3 linked regions of the Astyanax mexicanus genome follow. The protein of the gene in region 1 interacts with the protein of each later gene in a biochemical or structural test. Links are inferred from orthologs where the notes say so. Each region holds a gene or a part of one and is shown in the gene's direction. Other genes may lie near its edges. The genes, in order: rpa1, rad51 and rfwd3.

Region 1 (8,053 bases):
GGAGTGCATGTGTAAAATAGCTTTGCACCAGTTTGACCTTAACACTAGATTAATCCCTGAATGTTTCCTTTTCAAGGATTTCAGCCGAAACAGGAATTCATGCAAGAGTCTCTGAAAATATATAATTCAGAGCCGGCAGCCTTGACAGAGCTGGAGGAGATCAATGAGTGGGTAGAGAAGTCAACAAATGGCCAAGTCACAGACTTCCTCTCCAGTCTTCCCTCTAACCTTGTCATGATGCTTATCAACGCTGTGCACTATAAAGGTAAATGACATACGCACAGTCTTTTATAAGAGGACACACCACAGCAGTGAAAAGTGTAAACAGAGATACCCCGTATGGGCAAATGTACTGGGGCACCTGCTGATTTGTTGCTTCTTCCGGAATCAAGAGTGTCCTGCTTTTGTTGGTAAAACTATAAATTACTACTGTTTAGAAAAGGCTACTAGATTTTGGAGTATTTCTGGATTTGATTGCATTCAACCCACCTCATCCCAACCACATAGGCAACTGATCCCCAACTTTTGCCAAATTTACAGAATGGAGCACCATAATTTTAGGGAATGCAGTTCCACTGCTCCACAGCTCAGTGCTGAAGGGCTTTATATTTATGGAGCCTACACCTGGCTATTTTGGTTCATGTTAATCTGCTCCAGAGAATCCTATTTTATTGGCAGAATCCTATTCTATTGTCAGCTGAATGCATTCATTAGAAAGGGTGTTCACGAACATATGAACATGTAGTGTAGCTTTGGAAACTCATTACATAAGGCTAATATTATTAATGTTGTGTTACAACAGTTCATGTATTGTGTTTACAAAGTACTTAGACCCCTTCACTTTTTCCCCATTTTGAAATTAAATAACTAATAAATAAAACAGGGATGTCAAGTCATGTAGGCGCCAAATCATTAAGGTTCTGGGCCCTACTGAAGGGCCCTTAATACCAGTGTGTTAAATTTGAGTTGGATCTTAACTTTGAAGGGAACTATATATAACCAGAACCAGGATTTGGTATCCTTGCATTATAACCATACTCTAATACATTTACATTGGGAGTAACTCCCATCTGGCCAATCTACCACAAAGACTTGATCTGTGTGCCCCTTGGGATCAAAATGTAAAAGTTTTTCTAGAAAGTTTTATCTCCAATTATCTTTGTTTCTTGCTAGTTTTGATATTTGAAGATTAGTAACCTATAGAGAGAATAAATCATTTTGGAATTTTTATAGTGTTACCTTGTGAATGGTAATCATTAAAAAATGAGGTAGCTGTCTAACAAAAAAACATTCTTACGTGTTTGTATTTGTTAAGAAAGGTCCAGCTCACCTAATTTAATAAGTTTGTATTCAGTGTTTTTTCTTTTCCTTCAGGCGAGTGGGAGAAGCGCTTTGACCCTCGATTTACCACAAGTGAACCGTTCTACATTGATGAAAACCTGGCAGTCAATGTGGACATGATGCTTGGGCCAAAATACCCCCTCAGTATTTTTAATCATAATGAACTTGATGCCCAGGTACCTTTTATAATCATGTTTCTCTCTCTATCTCTCTCTCTCTTCTCTCTGCATATGTGTATATATACACATACATAGAAAACACAACATCTACATATATAGTTCTGTTTACTGTCATGCTACAAATGACATTATTGGTGTAAACAGAACTGTGTCTTGTCTTTTGCAGGTCGCTCGTTTTCCATTCAAAGGGAATATGAGCCTGATAATTGTAATGCCTGTGAGTGGAAATGTCAATGTGACGACCATTGCGGCCAAACTCAACATCTCAGACCTATATAGCCGCTTTCCCCGAGAGAGAAACATGCAAGTCAAACTCCCCAAATTCAAACTAGATTTCACTCAGGAACTTGATGAGGCACTTACAAGCATGGGTAAGAAATCATTCTGGATTTATCAAAGAAACAGATTTAGATTTTAATACCATTTTTGTTTAATTCAACCCTTTTTTTATTTATACAAATTTTTGTTTAAATACAGGGTTATTACACCAAATATTGATGTCTTAATATGAACTTTATGAAGTTTTATTTGCATTATTTGAGGTCTGAAAAATTTATTTTTTCTGCAAATAAATGCTCTAAATGACAATATTTTTATTTGTAATTTGGAAAAACTTTTGTCTGTAGTTTATAGAATAAAACAACAATGTTCATTTTACTCAAAAATATACCGATAAATAGCAACATCAGATATTTTTTTTCCAGAGCTGTGAATTTGGAAGTATTGCAGCAAAATGTTGCCATGTGTTTTTTAAGTATATTAAATATATTTAAGTATATTCCCCCAAAAGACAGTAAAGTTGATCTTATCCAAGGTAGTGGAAGCCTGTCTCACTCAAACAATTCTTTAAATATTTGTAGCTCCAGTGCAAATCTTACCTGCCCTGGCTGATCAGCTTTACATGTGATAATTGCTCTGTTTTTACACAGGTCTAGGGGAACTGTTCACAAGTCCCAACCTGGCTGGTATAGCAGATGGCCCCCTTGTGGTATCCAGCGTGCAGCACAAGTCCAGCATGGAGATAAATGAAGAGGGTGCAGAAGCTGCTGCTGCGACCAGTGTAGTCATCTCCCGCTCCAACCCCTCCTTTACAGTTAACCAGCCGTTTTTCTTCGCCCTCATGGATGATTCTTCTCAAACGCCACTTTTTCTGGGGGTGATTTCCAACCCAAACCCCAGCGAAGCTGCTGTGATATCAAACCCAAGTGATGTAGAAAAGGCCGGCTTGCTTGACAAGGATGCTGCACCATCTTCTGTCCATCCACCCAAGTGAAGGTCCTTCAGCAGAGTGAGGCTACAACTAATTTTGAGCTGCATGGGGCCGCAACAAAAAGGCAAATCAAGACTTTCAACAATGGGAATTATATGCTATAAAGCATGTTCAATGGACAGGAGTCAAATATGCAGAAACATATTGGAAATTTTGGAATGATACTTCTCACCATCAAGGCAAATTACCTTTCATCTTATGATAAAGCTCATATCACCAGCAGTCAACTGCATTGTTTTAAAAGCCTAATGTTTCATGATTAAAGAAAAGGGTTTTAAAGAATTAAGCGTTTCTTGCTGTATTTTTACAAAGTTGCAGGGCCAATAAGCTATACTTTAGTATCTTGCTTAAAACTTTTAGACTATAGACACAAGAAACTCACCTACAATTGAAGTTTGGATCGAATTTGCAAAACTCTGATCAGGTATCATGCATTTTCTTGCTGTCCACGTGATCAAAAATCTGTCTGCATACAATCTAGATATGCCAAAAACTGTATTTGGACTGGCAATCTGATTCTAGCCAATTAGCTTTAGGTTTTATACCAGTTTACACGCCTAGTGTACACTTTATTGTACAGTGTGATATAAAGGTGGTATTCATTTAGACATTTAGATCAAACATCACATGTTTCAGGCTTATACTTTTAGTAAAAATCTGTTTTACAGTCCTAATATTAGCAGTTGCTTTTGATTTCTAAATAAAGTTCACCTGAGTAGACATTTTTTTGTTTCATTTCTGCAATAAGTAATGCAGTGCAATTAATATAAAACAACAGTTTGTGCCATGGTAATTGAGATATTATTCTTTGATTGTGGTGGTTTGTGGTTCATATTTTTTTTATTTTTCCAACAAACTATTGTTTTTACAAATCATATACAGACATCCCACCCTGAAAAAACTAATTTCAGGGGGGGAGGGGGGGGGGTGTAGGTCCTTCAAATCTGTACTTAAAATATAAAATATAACATAATTTCAATGAAGTGCACAGAGTACAGTATCTCCTTAACACTTAGCCAGCTAGTTGTTAAACGAGTTAATGAACGAGTAAATTAAAAATGTAGGAGACTCCCTGAACTTCCGCGACAGGTGGGAACTTTTCTTATAGTGTACCTACAACAACTAAATTTGCTGTTACTGAGCCCAGAGAGTATCATGGTAAAACAATTCTATTGTTACAAATAAAAAAATGATAGATGCTGAAAAATGTTGCCTTACTTTTTTATAAATTGTTTCCTCAATCTTCAAAAAAGTTTTCTTAATTGAAATAATTGTTCTGTCTGTTTAACTAAAGCGTATGAAGCATATGATGGCGTAAAAAAATAAAGAGTTGATTTCGAGAATAAAGTCATAATATTTTAAGATTAAAGTTGTATTGCAATCAGGAAAGTTGCATTATTATGATCGAAGAGTTTGCAAATCGATATAGTAATCTCCTCGTGTTAAAATAAATTACTTTATCCTCAATAGTTTATTCTCAAAATATTTTTTTAAAATCTCGAAATATTATGAGTTTAATCACGAAATATTACAAGTTTATTCTAGAAATATTCTGAATTTATTTGAAATATTACAACTTTATCTGCAAAATGTTACAAGTTTATTCTAAATATTACGAGTTTATTTTTTTAAATAATAAGTTTATTGTAGAAGTATGAGTTTATTTTCAAAATATAAGCTTATTCGTATATTACTACTTTATTTGCAAAATATTGAGTTTATTTTTTAAATATAAGTTTATTCTTGAAATATTATGTGTTCATTTTCAAAATAGTACGCCTTTATTCTCTTAATATTACTACTTTAAGTGCAAAATATTACAAACTTATTTTTTGAAAAATAAGTTTATTCTAGAAGTATGAATTTTACTACTTTATTTGCGAAATATTGCGACTTTATTTGCGAAATGTTGCAAGTTTATTCTTGTAATATTATTAATATTTTTGAAGTCCGTTTTTTTTATTATTTTAAGAGTGGCTTTAAAACGCTGTCGTAAAAGGCTTCCTTTAAAGTGAGTAAAAAATAATAATAAAAAAGGACGAATGGTTTAATTTTTATTAGCTATTATTTTTATGATGTAAATATATTTATTTATTTTAGAATAAAAGTCCTAAGCATTTTAGCTAACCCTAAAATACCCTAAATAAGAGAGAAACTATATAGTTATATGTGTTAAAAACTCTGTATACATGCTAGTCTCTGTAGTCACTGGGGGGGAAAAGACCTCCTCCTTCGACCCTTCAGCGGAAGTGATGCAAGAAGCCGGAGCGCGCGCTTACACTGAAAGTTGGCGCCACGACTCAGAACAACAACACGGAGCGGGAGCGGAGCGGCTGAGAATTTATATTAAACCCCGATATTTCTCCTCCAGCTCGCAGCCATGACTGTTACACTGTCAGAAGGAGCTATAGAGGTGTGTACCGGGTAAACGAGAGGGGTAAAAGCGTAGTGTGAGAGCTGTTAAATAAGAAGGCCGAGAGCAGCGCAGAGTCAGCCTGGCTAAATAACTAACGCTAAGTAGTTCTAGCAGCTCAGTAACGGCAACTGGAGCTAAAGCTAAAGCTAACAGGCGACCTAACTTAGTGATTTAGAGAAATCTGTGTCTCAGTAAAGTAGAGAATGCTGAAAAAAATCTGCTCTAAAGAGTACATGTTATGATGGGATATGTAGAAAAATCTTTCCGTACGCCAACGATTTTTATTTGGATTGTCTATTCCACCTTAAACGGTGTCCAGGCGCTGCACAGTTTAAGGTGGAACGGTTCTGTTGTCATTCAAACGGCGTGGCCTTTTCGGTTAAATCACCGTTTTCCCTTCGTAAATACAATTAAGCTAGTTTAGCTAATCCAAACTTTTAACTATTCAATTATTCAGATCTAGGAGGCGCGTGTGCGCTGGGAAATCACCGAACTGCAAACCTGTCGTCCTAAAGAAAAAGGGGTTCTAATGCTGTCCATACACTAAGTTACACGACGTTGAAAAAAAAACTCTTAAAAAAAAAAAAGACTTTTAACAGACTAAAATCTGACACCCTCTCACATCTAAAGACAAGACGTTTTAATTACAGGCTCAGATTATTATCTGAGAATATTTCCCATCATGCTTCTGGTGGAGTTTACATACAATACTTGTGACATTAAGCTACACATAATGTGTAAGTTAAATCAGTACTCTGATTTGTCATCTCGTGATTTTATTTCGACTCTGGAAATGTGTCTGCGACATTGAAATCACTTGAAAATCGTTAGGTGTAAGGTCAACATAAGAAGAAAATGCTTTTCTCTGAACGTGAACTCGTGGTTTCTCCCTGTTATTGTAATGTGTGACTTATAGTTGTTGTTTATTTGTCTGTGTAAGAAAAATATTGGTTTTCTGATCATAACAAAGTTCTTATTATTTCCAACAAAGATTTATTTGCAGCCGTGAACGTGTAGATTTTGCAACACTTAGATTTTTTCACCCCTTAAAAAAAAAAAAACTTGTTCCATCAAATGTTTTAAATGTACTTTTTAGCATCTTATGTGCAATTACTATTTCGCACCAAAAACCTATAGACTGTCACTAAGTTAAATCAATCTGGACAAACTCCATAGAATGCCTTAGAAATATTTTCTTTGGGTGGACTTCTTTGTATTTTAGATGTTTTTTTAATGGATTTTAAAAACTGTCAGTTGAAGGAAACTCAGCTCAGAAAGACAATTTTTTAGAAATTTCATTAGACTTTATTTTGTGTATTTGTATGTATTTTTCTTAACTGTGTGTGTTCTATCATTTCAGCTCCTGATCAAAGGTAGTGAGGTTTCAAACCCAGTGCTTCAATGTGTTGTAAGTTCTTCTGTCAGTTGCATGTTTTTTTTCTGCTGGTGTTTTTTTTTTTTTTTACGAGAGTGTTAGATGTTTTCACTTGTTACTTCTCTTGATTTTAAGGAAAAATTATGGCCTGTCAATCTTATTGTAAGCCAAGTTTGTTTTACTGAAAAAATATAATAGAATGCAGTAGCGTTCTTTTACAGACCATCAGCATTTAAATATAACATTTATAAAACAAAATAAAACTGATGATGTGACAGGCATAAATCATTCTCAGATGACATCAAAACAGGTTTAGTAGGTATCCAAATATAAATGTTTTTGGCTTATGAAAGGATTCAATATAAACCTGTTTTATCATTAGTTAAATATTAAATTTAGCCTGCACAAATATGAGAAATGAATCAAATTTTAGAGCTTTTTTGGTTTGCAGCCTTATTCTCATGTATGTGAAATAAAAATTGTTTTTTCTCTGCAGAATATCCGAAAGATTGATGGAGGCAGTGGACCAGTCCGCTTTCGCCTCATGATGAGTGATGGCCTTCATACTATGTCCTGTAAGTGTGTGTTTGTGTGTTGGAGGGGATCTATTTAACCTTATACATGAAACCAAAGCATATGTATATAGATTTTTGCTTCCTCATTTGGATCTAAAGTTCTAGGTAAAGGTATCATATTGTATCTTAATGGCATCTCTCTGAAGAACTCTGTTTTCCTTAGAGCTTGCATAGTTTATCCAGTAATTCACTAAACTGTTACATAATAAAGTGCTGTGATTTTTATATCCATTGCTTATGCTTCTCATATCTGAATTTAATTGGTGTTTGTTGAGTATCCTTGTGAGTATCTCTGGGTATTTTCAAAACATAATGAGCCTAACATTGAAGAGGTACTTCACCATCAAAACAATTTTCTTGACTGCCTGAGTTTTTAAAATGACTCAGTGGCTGTTTCAATCATGACAATTAAATGAAAATGTTGTCTTACAATTGCACTATATAATGTTTAGAATAAATGTAAATAAGGATACAAAAACAGATCATATATTTCAAACAGTTATTGGTATGCTGGTTAGATTAATACAACTTAAGTTTGGTGCTCAACTGACTTCTCTGTGAACACCCTGACACTGTATGGATTTGTTGACTTCCTCCGCTTGCAAGTTAAACCCCTTTGACAAATGGAAGAAATGGTTGATATATGGTTATTCATTGAAGAGGGTATTTTTTTTTCTTGAAAAATAGACATGGGTATTTTTAAAAACTCGTATTACCCTTCTTCCATTAAAAAAAACAAAACATTTTTGTCCACACAGAGACTAATATGCTTGCATTAGCATACTAGATCTGTATGAGGTAATAGAAACTCAAGTAAGATATCAAAGCACTGCAGAGAAAATTACTCCCTAGGCAGTGTATGACAATACAGTCACAAAATTACTTGGCACTAGAATG
Region 2 (7,004 bases), on another chromosome or scaffold:
TGTTGTTCACAGACAGAAATTTTCTAAAACGCTTTTTATTTTTGTCAGAGAGATTTTAAATTTAGGGGTTCCTACTGTAACATGATAAAGGAAAGTAATTTACATTTTTCTATTTTAGTTAGCTAACATATTGGCCCTAAATTTAAGTTTAATTTGTAAAAAAAAAAAAGTGTTTCCTTGGAGTCCTTTTGAGTTTCCTGGTTAATTTACAGACAAAAGTAAATTCGGCTCAGTTGTTAGTCAGAATATATTTATTGGCACAAAAAGACTTGGGATGGCAGTAATTTGTAAATTGATCATTAAGGTGCTATTTTGTGATTAAGGTTGCCTGCATGCTTATAGCAAGGCAATAAATACATGATTCGATTTCGAGCTAGGCCCTGATAGTGGGTGGGTGCCAGTAGTAAGTCAGAAGTTTCCATATGACTCTTTTGATCTTAACTTTGCCTTCTGCTCTAAAGGTGTTGGATCATAGACTCTTCTGTCCATTACGTTGTGAACATCGGCTACTACTCTGTAATCTTCGCCTTCACCTTCACGACCTTTGTGGTCATGTTGCGGTGGATCGTCCTCCTCAAAAGAACCACAGCAGGCCACAAAAAGGCAGCCTCTGGCTCGGGTAAGCGCACAGGGACAGGCACCTCGGACATCCTGACCATAATGGGCCTGTGCTTCACTCTTGGAGTCACTTGGGGCTTCGCCTTCTTCGCCTATGGTGCCCTGCGCCTCCCATCGTACTACATCTTCACAATTCTCAATTCCTTCCAAGGTAAGTCATGAAAGCAAAGAGCGTATCAATCAGTTTTACAATACTAACACTGCTTTTGAAACAGCCATGTTCTAAAAGTATCTGCAATGCCAGATATTATTGAGACTTGTGCACACTACACAACATTTTGAACAACTGTTTTTACAGATTATAAAAGACTGAGCCTGATTCTCACAGTTTTCTGATTTTTTGGGGGGAAATAGAAAATGTCTGTCACATAAAAAAAAAACTAGGTACGCTTTACAACTCCAACCTGCTCCTGAACTGAAACAAATGCCCCAAAACATTAGAACATAAGAAGTAAACTTCATCTTCATGTGGTGGCAGTTTGAATTCATTTGAGCACAAAAAGAAAACTAGTTCCTGTGTTTACTTTTTGTGCTCGGCTTTCGTTGGATATTAAGGGGACCAGTTTAGAGTCTCTGACCATTATACAATACTAGATTACACAAAGTCAGGTAAAAAATGAGACATGAGTCTATGCTCCTGACACAACTATTTGGGCCTGTTTGGACCCTACACAAGGTGCGTTATGATGCTCATTGCTATCTTACACATAATTAACCCCATCGACAGTCTATTTTCACGCCTTCTGCCTGCATCATTTATATAGCAACAGTGATTGTGAATATATCTACACCAAATCTACACTAAATCAAGCTGCATGGTGCGTGTTTGACGCTTCACCTATAGATAGGTGAAAATAGGGCCCATTATATTTAGATGTTGCCATCATAGCACTGACACTGCACATATGGAAAGTAGATTGAATTAAACAAAATACCAGTAAATCCTGGATGCATACATCAAATAAATCAAACAGGATACTGATTCAAATCACACCTATGTGTTTGTACAGGTAACGCTGATGATTTATATTATGTTAATAAAGACTGAGAAACAGACTGAGATTTAGATACATTTTTAGTTTGAGAAGTTTACTTCCTCTCAGTTTCAAAAATATTTGTCCAAGGCACACATATAAAAAAAATACAATTAAGTGATTACTTGATTATTTGCTTATTTAGGAACTTTTCATGTCTCTCCTCAGGATTCTTCCTGTTCATTTATTATTACAAAACCAGCAAGTTCATTGGGGATTCAACCATCTCAGCCGAAACCAGCAACACCACAGAGGCCACGCAGATGGAAAACCCCTACGAGAAGCAGAAAAACTTTTAGAAAAAATGTTTTAAATCTGTTGTTTTTTCTGTATTAGGTACTATCTCTAGTTCTTTGTTTTTATTATGTATATAATATGCGTAACATGAATATTTGACATGTTTATCTTTGATCAGTAAGAAATTTTATTTTTATGACTATATACAATGGAGTTTAAAAGGGGGTCTCAGAGTACAACAAAAATCAGAAACATTTTAATGATGTCGAATAGAGTCGGAATGGGTAGAGTTCAGTCAAGTCAAGTAGTGTAGAGGACATGCAGTGTAAAAGCACAGATGTTATGTAATGAACCCTGTACAGTTTACATAGTTTAGAAAAATCATTTGCACACCCAAAACATTATTGAGTCATTATTGTCAGAGTTCCTTATAGACCCCTTACCTTTACCAAAATGGGTGAATATTTAAATCTAAAGAAATGTGTGACTGGCTGTGTAAGGGGTTTTGTACATAAAGCTCAGATGCATTGCTTTTACACAAAATCTACATGATATAAATTATGTGTGATTTACATTAAAAAGGTTTTGCATGTTTAATTCTTATTGAGTACAGTGATGTAAATATGCAGCAGAAAATGATTATTAATGTATAAATAATATACTTTGTGATGTAATGTTTCTGTTCTGTTAATGTTGTAATGTCTGTTATGTGAATATGAATTGTCTCTAGTCTTGCTGTAACTTTAAGTGCTAGTAATTAACTATTATTTTTTTTTATTTTGAGTTTAAATATTAAATAAAATGCTTTATACTGGCACTGGCATAAAGTCAGATTACTGCACCACAACTCCACCAACACAGTCCACTCTACACTATGGGTCAGTTTCCCAGACAGAGATTAAGCCTAGACACATATTACATTTTCCTTTCAATGCAAAATCTCTGCTATAACTAAATTTAGAGCCTCCAGAGCGAGTCTGTGGTAAATACCAGCTGCTTTGGCACAGCCAGAGGACAGGGTGCTGCTGGCGCCACCTCCTGGAAACAGACGGTTATACTCCTCTTCAGACCTAGCGATCATGACTGGAACGACTCGAGATATTTATCATAGGACGCAGCGATTAAAGCATTTTTGCCAGGTGTGGGTGCTCAGTGAAACGTTTATTAATGACATTTTCTGACTGTTAGAGAACAAATGCAAAGATAGAAAACTGAATGTAAAAACTATTTTTTTATGTAGTGCAGTGTACAAGAAATACGTTTTCATCCATTTTCCAATCTACTTTTTTCCATCTCTGCCCCTCACAAGCGTACGGAGCCCCTAAGGTGACATTATGTAAAAAAAAAAAAAAAATAAAGGCGTGGGAAAGAGATCCCAAGGCTCGTTAATGAAAAAAAAAATATTTTCTTTATTTTCTGGTTTTTCAATTTTTGCATTTTAAGTTGGAGTATAACATCAGATTTGTGTTTACAAGTTACAAAAATTGACAAATCTGAAAAATGAAAGTATGACTGTATCAAACTAAATTCGAAATAAAGAAGAATGTGTTTTCATTCAATTTTTTTTTCATTTCAGCCTTTTGCAAACGGAATTTCAAGAACAATTAAAAGTTGAATCTCTTGATTTCCAGATTTGTCCATTTTTGTATCTTTTAACACAAATCTGATGGTATAATCCAACTTGCAAAATTAAAAAATCTGAAAATAAAATATTCATATTTAATTTTTTTCCTAAAATTACGATTGTGAAGGGCAGAGATGAAAAAACTAAAATTGGAAAAAAATATTAAAACCTTTTCTTGTACAATGCACTACATTAAAAATTAAACAACATAAAAAAATAATGAATTTTTACATCCAATTTTTGCATTTAGCCTCAAATGGTCAGAAAATTTAATTAATAAACGTTACATTGACCTTCAACTTTTAATTTTTCTTGAAATTCTGTTTGCAAAATGCTGAAATTAAAAACTTGATAATTGGAAAATTGGGTGAAACCCAATTTATTCTTCATTATAAATTCAGCTATAGTTAGGCAATTAAACTGCTAAAGGTTACACTGACGTGGGTGCATTTTTTTTATAGAAATAATATTTTTTTGGCAAAAAGATAAAAAACACGCCCGCTGTGACGTCGCTCGGTGTCACGTGACCGGTGACGCAGGCGCGGGAAACTCGGTTGTGAGGCCAGTCGGTGAGAGAGCTCCTCTACTTCTGTTTATTTATCTGTAATTCAGTTTATTTATTCAGTTATTAATGATATATCAATACAGCCCCAGAAACAGCAACAGTAGGCGACCTCTGACAGCGCCGGTCCGGGGCGGGTCTCAGCGGATTCAGCTGCATTAACGTGTTAGAAGAGGAGAGGCGCGTTAGCTGTTACTGTTACTGTTACTGTTGCTGCTGCCGCTGCCGCTCTGATTCAGTGCAGGCTAGCTGAACTGATCCAGATACAGCTGAGTTAACTCAATAACAGGAGCGCGGGGTTATCTGGACGCTCTGCGGTCAGAAACACTGCAGCACACCAGAGCAGAGCAACACACTCGACCACACTCGTCTCGGGTCATTTTGGTTTTGGCTAACTTAACTAAGCTCTCCTGGCTTTGTAAATTAAATCTAGCGAAAGCTACTACCGCCCTGTTGTTGTAGCTAAGCTAACGCTAGCTATAGCTATAGATTAGCTAAGTTAGGTGAACTAGGTACGATTGTTCACGATTAGTGATTTTCTCTTTACTGTTTTCTCTTTGTTTTTCTCGTGTTTGGTTTTAACACCGATTTATTCTTAGTTTCTGCTAGTTTTAAATTTATCTTAATGTTCTCACAGCGGGCAAACAGGGCAGAAAAGTTGTCAAATGTTCAAGTGGATAAATTCCATTTCTATGGGTTAGCTAACGCTAGCTAGGTTAGCTGTGCCAGATATGGTAAACATATTGTGTAACTAGAGCTGGGAGATATTGTGACCAATTATATATTTCTCTCTCTCTCTCTCAATCTAAGTCATAATTATAACCATTCATTCTTATAAGATTATGAAGCAGCTCCCTTTAAAAATACTGTTACATTAGAGTTAGAGTTTTTTTACAGTTTCTTTTTGACCGAAAAACAAATCTATCTAGTGAGATTCCCTCTGGCAGGTTCTGTACGTAAACATGTCCCATTTTGAAAATAAATGCAATGTAACAAGAATCCAATTAATCAAATGAATGTGACTAACCTTCCAGCTTTTGTTTTTTAGGATATCACGACTTTTTACCAAAATACAATATTTATTACGATATTATTAAAATAAATAATATTGAGCTTGTGTAGTGTGTAACAGAGCAGACTAGTTGTAACATTTTTAAATTAAATTCTTTAATTAAATAAAAAAAAATATTTGTTGATGGTACCCCCAGTATTAGTGTTTTAGCTTTGATTTGTGCTTGTATGTCTGTAAATATGGTCCAGGTAATTGAAGATGGCTATGAGAAGTGAAAGCAGAGTGGAGGTGGAGGCAGAAGTTGAAGAAGAGGATAGTTTTGGACCACAGCCGCTGAACCGCCTGGAGGTATGATTTAACACAACTAGCGATTCAGCCATGAGCAATGCCTCTTTTCTTTTAAAGAGCCAGATGCAAGAGTGAAGTGCAGTGATTTCTCATAAGCTGTTACATTTTAATTGAGTCTTTATTCTTTGGTCGATTTATCAGAAACACCTGCTAAATAAATATGTGGTCTTCAATCTGGCCTGTCCTTTTGGAGAGCTACTTTTATGCAGACTTTTGCTCAAACTAATCATTGATCTCAAAATTCATTAATTGGTTGAAATGGGTGTGTTTTAGTTTTGGGCAAGAGCTGAAACCTGCTCTGTGGTCAGAACTGATCACTGACGAATGACTAGAGAATCACTACATAAAGTCTGTCAACAGATGTGCAACAGTCTCTTACTAGTGCAATACTACCTTCCCATGGAGAGAGTGTGAAATTTTGCTTGTTGGATCTGTTTGTAACATATAGGTGTCACAAAGCTGTCGATAGTCCTTTCTGTTCATGAAGTGCTTGTTTCTGTGTTCTGCAGCAATGTGGTATCAGTGCCAGTGACCTGAAAAAGCTGGAAGATGCGGGATTTCACACCATCGAGGCTGTAGCATATGCCCCCAAAAAAGAACTGATCAACATTAAGGGCATCAGTGAGGCCAAAGCTGACAAGATTTTGGTGAGCTCAGCACTTCTTAATAATCATCCATTTTGCTATAGCAACTTGGAACTCGTGTTGCTGCTACTTCTCTACGTCTTTATATATTGTGTATTTTTCTTCTCTATTTTATTATTTTACGATTATACTTTTTACTTTGTCTTTTTATTCTTCTATTTTAAACAATTGCTCTTTGAGTGTAAACTGGACCGTGGGAATACAAATTTGTTCCACCTCATGTACCACATGTGATGTGAAATGACAATAAAATCTCCTTGATATTTAAATCCTTAAATTTATGTTTTTATTGTTTCCTGCAGGCAGAGGCTGCTAAACTGGTTCCAATGGGCTTCACAACAGCAACAGAATTTCACCAGCGGAGAGCTGAGATCATTCAGATTTCCACTGGTTCCAAAGAGCTGGACAAGCTTCTGCAGGGTGAGGAATTGTTTGACCTCAGTTGTAATGTAGCTTATAAAACAACATTGAAATGTTTTTTTAGTACACAATTCAAGGTTCTTTACATAAATCACAAATTAAATGGGCAGAAAAAGTAAGTAAAAACAGCAGAGCACAATTTAAGATGAAATGCATACATATAAAATGAAACCTTTTTCATTACTTCATGTTACTACGCTTTTGCACAAAAATGCTCCAGCCACTCACCACTGTGATGTCTGTTGCATTTGTATGTAGCCAACATGTATTTTGTTAATAGAGCCACTTTCTTGCTTTCTCTTGTTTTCCCTGTCTATAGGTGGTATTGAGACAGGTTCCATCACAGAGATGTTTGGGGAATTTCGTACAGGAAAGACTCAGCTTTGTCACACGTTAGCAGTCACATGTCAGCTGCCTATCGATCAGGGAGGAGGGGAAGGCAAAGCCATGTACATCGACACCGAGGGCACGTTCCGTCCAGAGAGACTTCTGGCTGTTGCTGAGA
Region 3 (7,027 bases), on another chromosome or scaffold:
AGACTAGCAGGACAACAGCGCCATCTACAGCCTTATGAGTCTCCACAGGGAGACTGTTAGACACACAAACTCAACATAGAACATCTCTATTAATATACATAAACATCTGTAATAAAAAAAAATTGAAAAAGAAATTGTTTCATCCAGAAAAGCTAATCAAGCTGATTGTGTGTTGATTTCATATAAAATAAATGGACAAAAAACGTAGCTGGTTCGTTTGGTACAACATACGTCTCTGTTATTGAAAACGGTCACATTAATATGATATAACACTGAAACAACTGTTAAGTCTGAAACAAGAGTAAAGAAAATACATTTCTCTAAAAATCTGAAATATAACATGTTTTCTTACCTGCAAAAGGGAGACAGTTCGTGGTGTGTGGGCTTAGGTGGCCATCTAGTGGGGAGAGTAACAAAGTTTCAGTAGAACTGTTCTGTCTGTCCATAAAATCAGGGGGTCACACAGGGCCACGTAAATAAAGGAAGGCCGTCGTTTCTCGTCCTTTAGCTCAGTATATCTTAATCCTGGTACTGGAGACCAATATGCTGCACATTTCAGTGATTTTCCTCCTTTAACACACCCACCTGAATTCAACAATGAATTAATAATTAGCTGATTATTTGACTTGGGTGTGTTTGATGCAGGAAAAACACTAAAAGAGCAGGGCAGTGGGCCTGTGTGCTTATGCATATGCCCAACTCTATGTGTAACTCTATGTTAGTTTGTTTTGTGTTCATTTTTTTGTAATGTGAACTTCCCAAAAAGACTATATTGTGAATACATAATGAGAGTGAAATTGTGACAAAGCTGTGATTAATGTGTTATGAGCTTTGTTTAGGATCAGTTTAATTTGGTTATTTTACCCTTTTGTAGCTAGGGTCCTTATAAATGCTACACCAACAGCCTTTAAACACAGCTTAAACACAGCGTGAAGACACTTAACTAAGTAATTCAAACTAGTGTTGCTGAACTACACATTGTCCTGCATTGTGAATGATTATTCATAAAAAAAAATTTGTATTTCATTTTATATCCTATATAATATGTTCACATGTAAATACGACTTTGTAGTATTCACTGCACTGATGGGTTATAGGCGGAGACCCAGTTTTACCTGTGCCCAGCATATCATGTATATGGTTGTCTTGTTTTAAACAAGACTTTCATTCCAACCCCACAGAAGCTTGCTTATATATATTTAAAGATCAATTATATTGTAGCAGTGGCATGTTGAGAAACAGTCTTTATTTGTAGCTCTTTTTTACTTTGTTCTCCAAAACAGGTGTGTTCTATAAAGCGGAAGACCCGAGACTCATACTAACCCCCTGTATTAAACCTCTTGTTTAGCGGTCCGTGTGCCACGGCCATAGTGACAACAGACCAACTCAGGCACCCGCTGGCAAGTGGACCCACTCATAACACAACCACTTCGTCTGTTTAAGTCCACAGTTAACCATTACACACAAGGAGCATCCCAGGAGCCCCAGGGGCTGACTCAGACTTACATGGTTGGCCCACCATGATGCCATAATCATTTTTGTACAGATGTTTTATTTTAAGACACTTTATTTTGCAGCATTTGTTTGGAAACATGCTTTACATTTTCAGATTGTATTATTTACCATCTCTTTAAATTTTTTGAAATGTTTTCTGAGTATTTTGCCCCACTAGCTGAACAAAGTATGCTTGAAAGATTTGTTTTTCCCCTTTAGATAAGCCTGCAGATCCAGGGGTTCATGGACATAGGGAATTGTGGTAAACTGAGATGCTGGTGCTGTTGTTTGCCCACTGCATGTGGTCACTCAGGTTTGTGGACAGTGGAGTGGGAGGATGCCGGTGTTTCAGGGTGCCTCCCTGTCTATGTTACCTTCTGACTCTCCGCCTTTAGTTAGGCTGTTTTATTCAGATCTGCCAGAGTCATTAGCCACACTCTGATAATGTTTCATATTTTCTCCATAAATCCAGTCAAAACTAATTCCCTTCTTCAACCTTCCTCTGAGTTACTGACTGCCCACCAGTCTGACCCAATACCGATGGATGTTGGACCCTCAGGCTCTAATGTTTCCTGCCCGGCCAGACTGATAGAAGTTTCTGAAGTCAGGCTTTCCCATCATCCACCACAGATTAGCTGCCCATTGTCCCTCTCACTCTCCACTACTGATTACATTCAAGCTTACATGAACTCTAACTTCTTCCATTACTGGTGCTGCTGTACACCTGAATATATAAGACCTATGTGGATGTATAAAGACTTTTAAAAATTCATTTAAAAGCTCTCTGTCCAGTGGAAGGATGATCGCCCCTTATATGTGAGTCTTGGTCCTTCCAAGATTTCTTCCTCCTCCAGCTCTGAGGAAGTTTTTCCTTGCCTCCATGCTTATTGGGGTTCTGTGTTCTGTATTCTGTGTTTTTTATGTTTAATATTTTGCCTGATCCTTTGTCCTGTAATCATATTTGTGTTAAGCTGCTTTGTAACAACATCAGTTGTAAAAAGCGCTATACAAATACATTTTATATAAAAATAATCTTATTAACACTTCTAAAGACTAAATACTAAAGATTTATCAAATATTCTGCACTTTTTTTATTTAGTGAAAAAAATGGTGAAAATGTCAAATAAATTATACAGAAAAAGTTTTAAGAGTTCAGAAATCAATATTTAGTGAAATAACCCTGGGTTTTAATCAGTTTTCATGCATCTTGGCATGTTCTCCTCCACCAGTCTTGCACACTAATTTTGGGTAACTTTATGCCACTACTGGTGTAAAAATGTAAGCATTTCAGCTTGGTTTGATGGTTGTGATCATCCATCTTCATCTTGATTATATTCCAGAGGTTTTCAATTTAAAAAAATAAAAGAAACTAATTTGGTGGAAAAATGTAGTGAAAATGTCAAATAAATTATACAGGACAATAATTAATTTAGTCTTATTGCAGTGTTTTCACTAAGATTTTTTTTAGCTTCGGTGGCAAAACCACAGTCCATGTCCTCCTCCCTTAGCCCCCTTGACATTATGTATCAGAGTGCTACTGTATTGGTGCTACATGACATAAAAGGGAGGAGAACTACTTTACCTAAAAGTACATTTCATTGAAATGTGTGATAGAAAATATTAACTGGACAAAAGAATGGTTACTTTTCTACAAATACTGTATTTAGTCTGTCTCTTTTGGGATGTAATTATTATTTCTCCAGTATAGACAATAATATGAGTTTACTCTTATTACAAGTGTATGTTTAACAAAACTGCACCCATACTGCATACATTTATGATTGGAATTAAGTATATTCATAGTTCTCTAAAGCCCATAAAAACTCAAAAAGAATCAAATTTGGTGTTATGAACAGTATGTACAGTTGTGTTTATTATTTTTTTGTGAGTCATATGTATATAATTGTTCTTATTATAAGAAATCTTATTATATTAACTTGTTTTCTTTGCATTATTGCTCTGCATCTTTTTTGTTATTTCAGCCATTTCTCATTTTCTACAAATAAATGCTCTAAATGACAATATTTTTATTTGGAATTTGGAAGAATTGTTGTCTGTATTATCTAGAATAAAAGAACAATGTTCATTTTACTCCAACATATACCTATAAATAGCAAAATCAGAGAAACTGACTTGGAAAATTAAGTGGTCTCTTATTTTTTTCTAGAGCTGTATATGTGACCATATAATATAAGCTATTAAAAAAATACATAAAAAACAGTTAGGAAGAATCATTCATAATGCAGACCAATGTGTAGTCAACAACACACAGAAGTTTAAAATAAATAAATAAATAAAAAATAAATAAATTATAAATAAATACGTCATATATAATATAAATATTTTTAAATATGGGATATCAACATTACATTTATTTTCTGTTTATTCTCATTTTTATTTTTAAAATTGTTTCTATAGTTAAATATGTTTTTTTTAACGTTGTTTTCCTGAGCGGTCGGATCAGGTTGTGTGATGAGGGTGTCTGATTGGATCGCTGAGGGCCTGGTCGAGGCGGTAGTTGTGTAAAGCTGTGGGAATGGGCGGAACTACAGTATGGCGCGGACTTCAGAAGCTATGGTAGAGAGACTTTGAGCTCAGATCGATCTGAAGTGTAAATCTGATTATATAGAGTCAGGTATTGATCTCGGGAGATTCTCAGCAAACTACCCTCGACCCCTTTTCGAAGCGCGTATGGGTCAGTAGATATATAATGGTTGATTAATGTGGAAGAGGACGGGAATTGCGGTTTTAAGGTAATGTTTTTGTAGCTTCGCAGTACTGTGAGCTGGGTTTAGCTAACCTAGCTGTTTGCATCACGAGTTAGCTTCGAAGCTAACTTGCAGTCTGTGCTTTATAAACACGAATCGCCATGCATCAGACCACGCTTTAATAGCAGTAAACCGACAAAGAGCTGTGTATATTTATACTGAGGGGGGTTAAATGTGCTGCATGTTTGTATTCGACTGATAGATGGTAATCTGTTTGCTAGCTAGCGCTAGCAGGCTAACCAATGTAACCTAGCGCCAGACTCATAAATTCACTAACTAGCTTTGCTAACAGACCCATCTAGCCACCTCGCTCAATTTAAGAACATCTAGTAAACCCACCAAGAGGTTACATAGCTAAATTAAAGCATTTGCACATTAATTAAAAGCCATTATAGCTAGCTAGCTAATCTAGCTAGTTACGTCCATATATAGCTCTTGAGAAAAAAATAGTGCCCATTTCAGTCTCTCTGATTTTGCAATTTATAGGTATATATTTGAGTTAAATGAACGTTTTTGTGTTACGGACATTTTTCCCAAATTCCCAATTTTTTTTTTTTGTTATTTATAGCATTTATTTTGCAGAAGATGAGAAATGACTGACATAACAAAAAGATGCAGAGCTTTCAGACCTCAAATAGTGCAAAGAAAACAAGTTCATATAAAAAAAAAAGTTTTAAGAATTCAGAAATCAATATTTAGTGAAATAACCCTGGGTTTCAGCTTTTATGCATCTTGGCATGTTCTCCACCAGTCTTGCACACTCATTTTGGATAACTTTATGCCACTCCTGGTGAATAAATGTAAGCATTTCAGCTTGGTTTGATGGCTTGTGATCATCCATCTTCCTCTTGATTATATTCCATAGGTTTTCAACTAGGTAAAATCAAAGAAACTAATTTGAGTGGTGTCCTCTTATTTTTTTTCCAGAGCTGTAGTTAGCTAGCTAATAGCATCTTGGGTCACTGTTTATTTCTGACATTTTAACTAACTTATCTAGTTAACCTACCTAATTAGTTAGTAAGCAACTACTAACACTTGCTCCACTATCAGAGCTTTAGTAATTATTATATAGGTGTAGTAGTAAATCTTCTGCTGTATTAAGTGACAGCTTGAAGTCTGTCAGGCTCATGTAAGACACACTGTGGGAGGGAAATGGGGCCTGGTGCTGGACATCTCTGGCCTGTAGGTTGGTGCTTAAAAGAGATGGCAACCTTTCCTTGTTGCCCGTACCAGTTGTTTCATAGACCCGCTGGGAGCAAAAACTACCAGGCTGATTTTATACTATGGACCAGAGAAGTGGTGTACTGCTTCAAACGTTGTAAACCTGCAGGGCTGCTTTAAATACACAGACTAGATGGCACTAGATGTTGTCCAATCCTATTTCCAATTTCTACTCCTTCCCTCTGTTTTCGAGTGTATTCCTTTTTCTTGGAACAGATATACAAGAGAAAGGGGTGAAATCTGTTGCACCATTAAAGGCAGAACAGGGATGTTAGTTTAAACAGAGGGGTAGAACTAAGTGGTAGGGCCAAGAGGGGAAATGGGATTGGCCTTTGTCTCACTGTCCACTCTAAAGCTTTTTGTAGCACAAATTGTGGTGTCACTTGCCAAGGTCAATAATAGAAGGTTTGTTCACTCTGGACTCTGTGCCTATAATAAAACAGAGTAATTCAGCGTAACATACTAACACTTTTTTTTGTGCTTTCCAGATGGAAGACATGGAGGTGGATGTGCAGTTAGGAGCAGCAGGGGCAGCTGTTAGTTCTGTAGGGGTGGAGGTGCCGATAGTCATTCCTGACTCTGGGAGCAGCACAGAAGTAGAGGAGGATGAAGATGGTGATAGACAGCTTGAAGGAAGAAGCACTGTCCCAATAGAGAGGCCACGACTTGCATCAACTCAGGCTGTCAGGAGAAGACGGAGAGCTAGGTATGATGAATAAATACACAAGTAAGCCTGTTGGTTGGCGCCTTTGCAATCAGCTGTACATAATTTTTTAAATGTTCAAATCTGCTGCTAATGTACTTTTAGATCTTGGTCAGTGGTTCCAAACTGAGTTTCTGGAGTTTTCACATCCTAAAGTTAGTTAATTTAATGGATTAGTAGAGTATCAGTGGTTTTAAAGCAGAATAACTTCAAATATGCTATTCAGTGCTAGGGTTACTGTACATTACATACTATACATGTGTATATATTAAGTACAAGCCCTGCATGAAGATGTGTGTTATAATTATGCTTAAACATGCACTTCAACTTGCTTCACAGGCCAGGATTGCGGTTCCAGTACTCGACTCAGACTACACTTCTAAACAGAGGCCCTTTAGACTTCTTGCTCAGGGTTTCAGCAGGGAGTGACACAGAACCAATCTCAGGCAGCACAGAGGAGGTGAGTGACTCTGAGGAAGAAGGACAAAATGGACAGAGCGCAAATTCTGGACAGTCTTCAGAACCTGCCCCTGTGTCTAACTCCAGCCAGCAGGCTCCAGTGGTGGCTCCTCTACTTCAGGAACCCAGTGCAACAGGTAAATTTTCACATTGATATTCAGAGAATGTAAGTGGAGAATTTAAAGAGACTTTAGAAATACTTCTGGTTTAAAATGCTGTTAAGTGTACTATAAAATAACAATTCTCCATAATGTAGCTTTAAATAGTGGTCTTATCTTGTTGTGTTGCATAGTTTAAACAGAGTGTCCATTATGTCCTTGCCTTTACACAGGTCCTGTTGTTTCTGCTGATGTTGAGAGGACAGAAGCCCCAGTTCAGTCTG

Evidence for each region.
Region 2: the proteins of rpa1 (region 1) and rad51 form a complex in vitro, tested with the Homo sapiens proteins (2 studies listed by BioGRID). The link is inferred for Astyanax mexicanus from reciprocal best matches to the Homo sapiens genes RPA1 and RAD51.
Region 3: the proteins of rpa1 (region 1) and rfwd3 form a complex in vitro, tested with the Homo sapiens proteins (3 studies listed by BioGRID, with this or other methods). The link is inferred for Astyanax mexicanus from reciprocal best matches to the Homo sapiens genes RPA1 and RFWD3.

What each region holds. Positions count from the first base shown.
Region 1 is NC_064425.1:14,360,097-14,368,149, forward strand, and holds the start of rpa1 (replication protein A 70 kDa DNA-binding subunit), read left to right. Parts: upstream 1-5,051; 5' UTR 5,052-5,170; coding exon 5,171-5,203; intron 5,204-6,566; coding exon 6,567-6,614; intron 6,615-7,077; coding exon 7,078-7,156; intron 7,157-8,053. Other genes in the region: serpinf2b (serpin peptidase inhibitor, clade F (alpha-2 antiplasmin, pigment epithelium derived factor), member 2b), read left to right, coding at 77-265, 1,375-1,517, 1,687-1,891, 2,450-2,793. UniProt on the Homo sapiens protein: As part of the heterotrimeric replication protein A complex (RPA/RP-A), binds and stabilizes single-stranded DNA intermediates that form during DNA replication or upon DNA stress.
Region 2 is NC_064408.1:39,934,710-39,941,713, reverse strand, and holds the start of rad51 (DNA repair protein RAD51 homolog 1), read left to right. Parts: upstream 1-3,997; 5' UTR 3,998-4,082; intron 4,083-4,088; exon of another isoform or gene 4,089-4,116; intron 4,117-4,284; exon of another isoform or gene 4,285-4,587; intron 4,588-5,335; 5' UTR 5,336-5,345; coding exon 5,346-5,435; intron 5,436-5,944; coding exon 5,945-6,082; intron 6,083-6,381; coding exon 6,382-6,499; intron 6,500-6,818; coding exon 6,819-7,004. Other genes in the region: adgrg11 (adhesion G-protein coupled receptor G2), read left to right, coding at 462-769, 1,821-1,951.
Region 3 is NC_064409.1:53,683,791-53,690,817, reverse strand, and holds the start of rfwd3 (E3 ubiquitin-protein ligase RFWD3), read left to right. Parts: upstream 1-4,014; 5' UTR 4,015-4,047; coding exon 4,048-4,071; exon of another isoform or gene 4,072-4,247; intron 4,248-5,971; coding exon 5,972-6,189; intron 6,190-6,525; coding exon 6,526-6,782; intron 6,783-6,976; coding exon 6,977-7,027. UniProt on the Homo sapiens protein: E3 ubiquitin-protein ligase required for the repair of DNA interstrand cross-links (ICL) in response to DNA damage. Plays a key role in RPA-mediated DNA damage signaling and repair.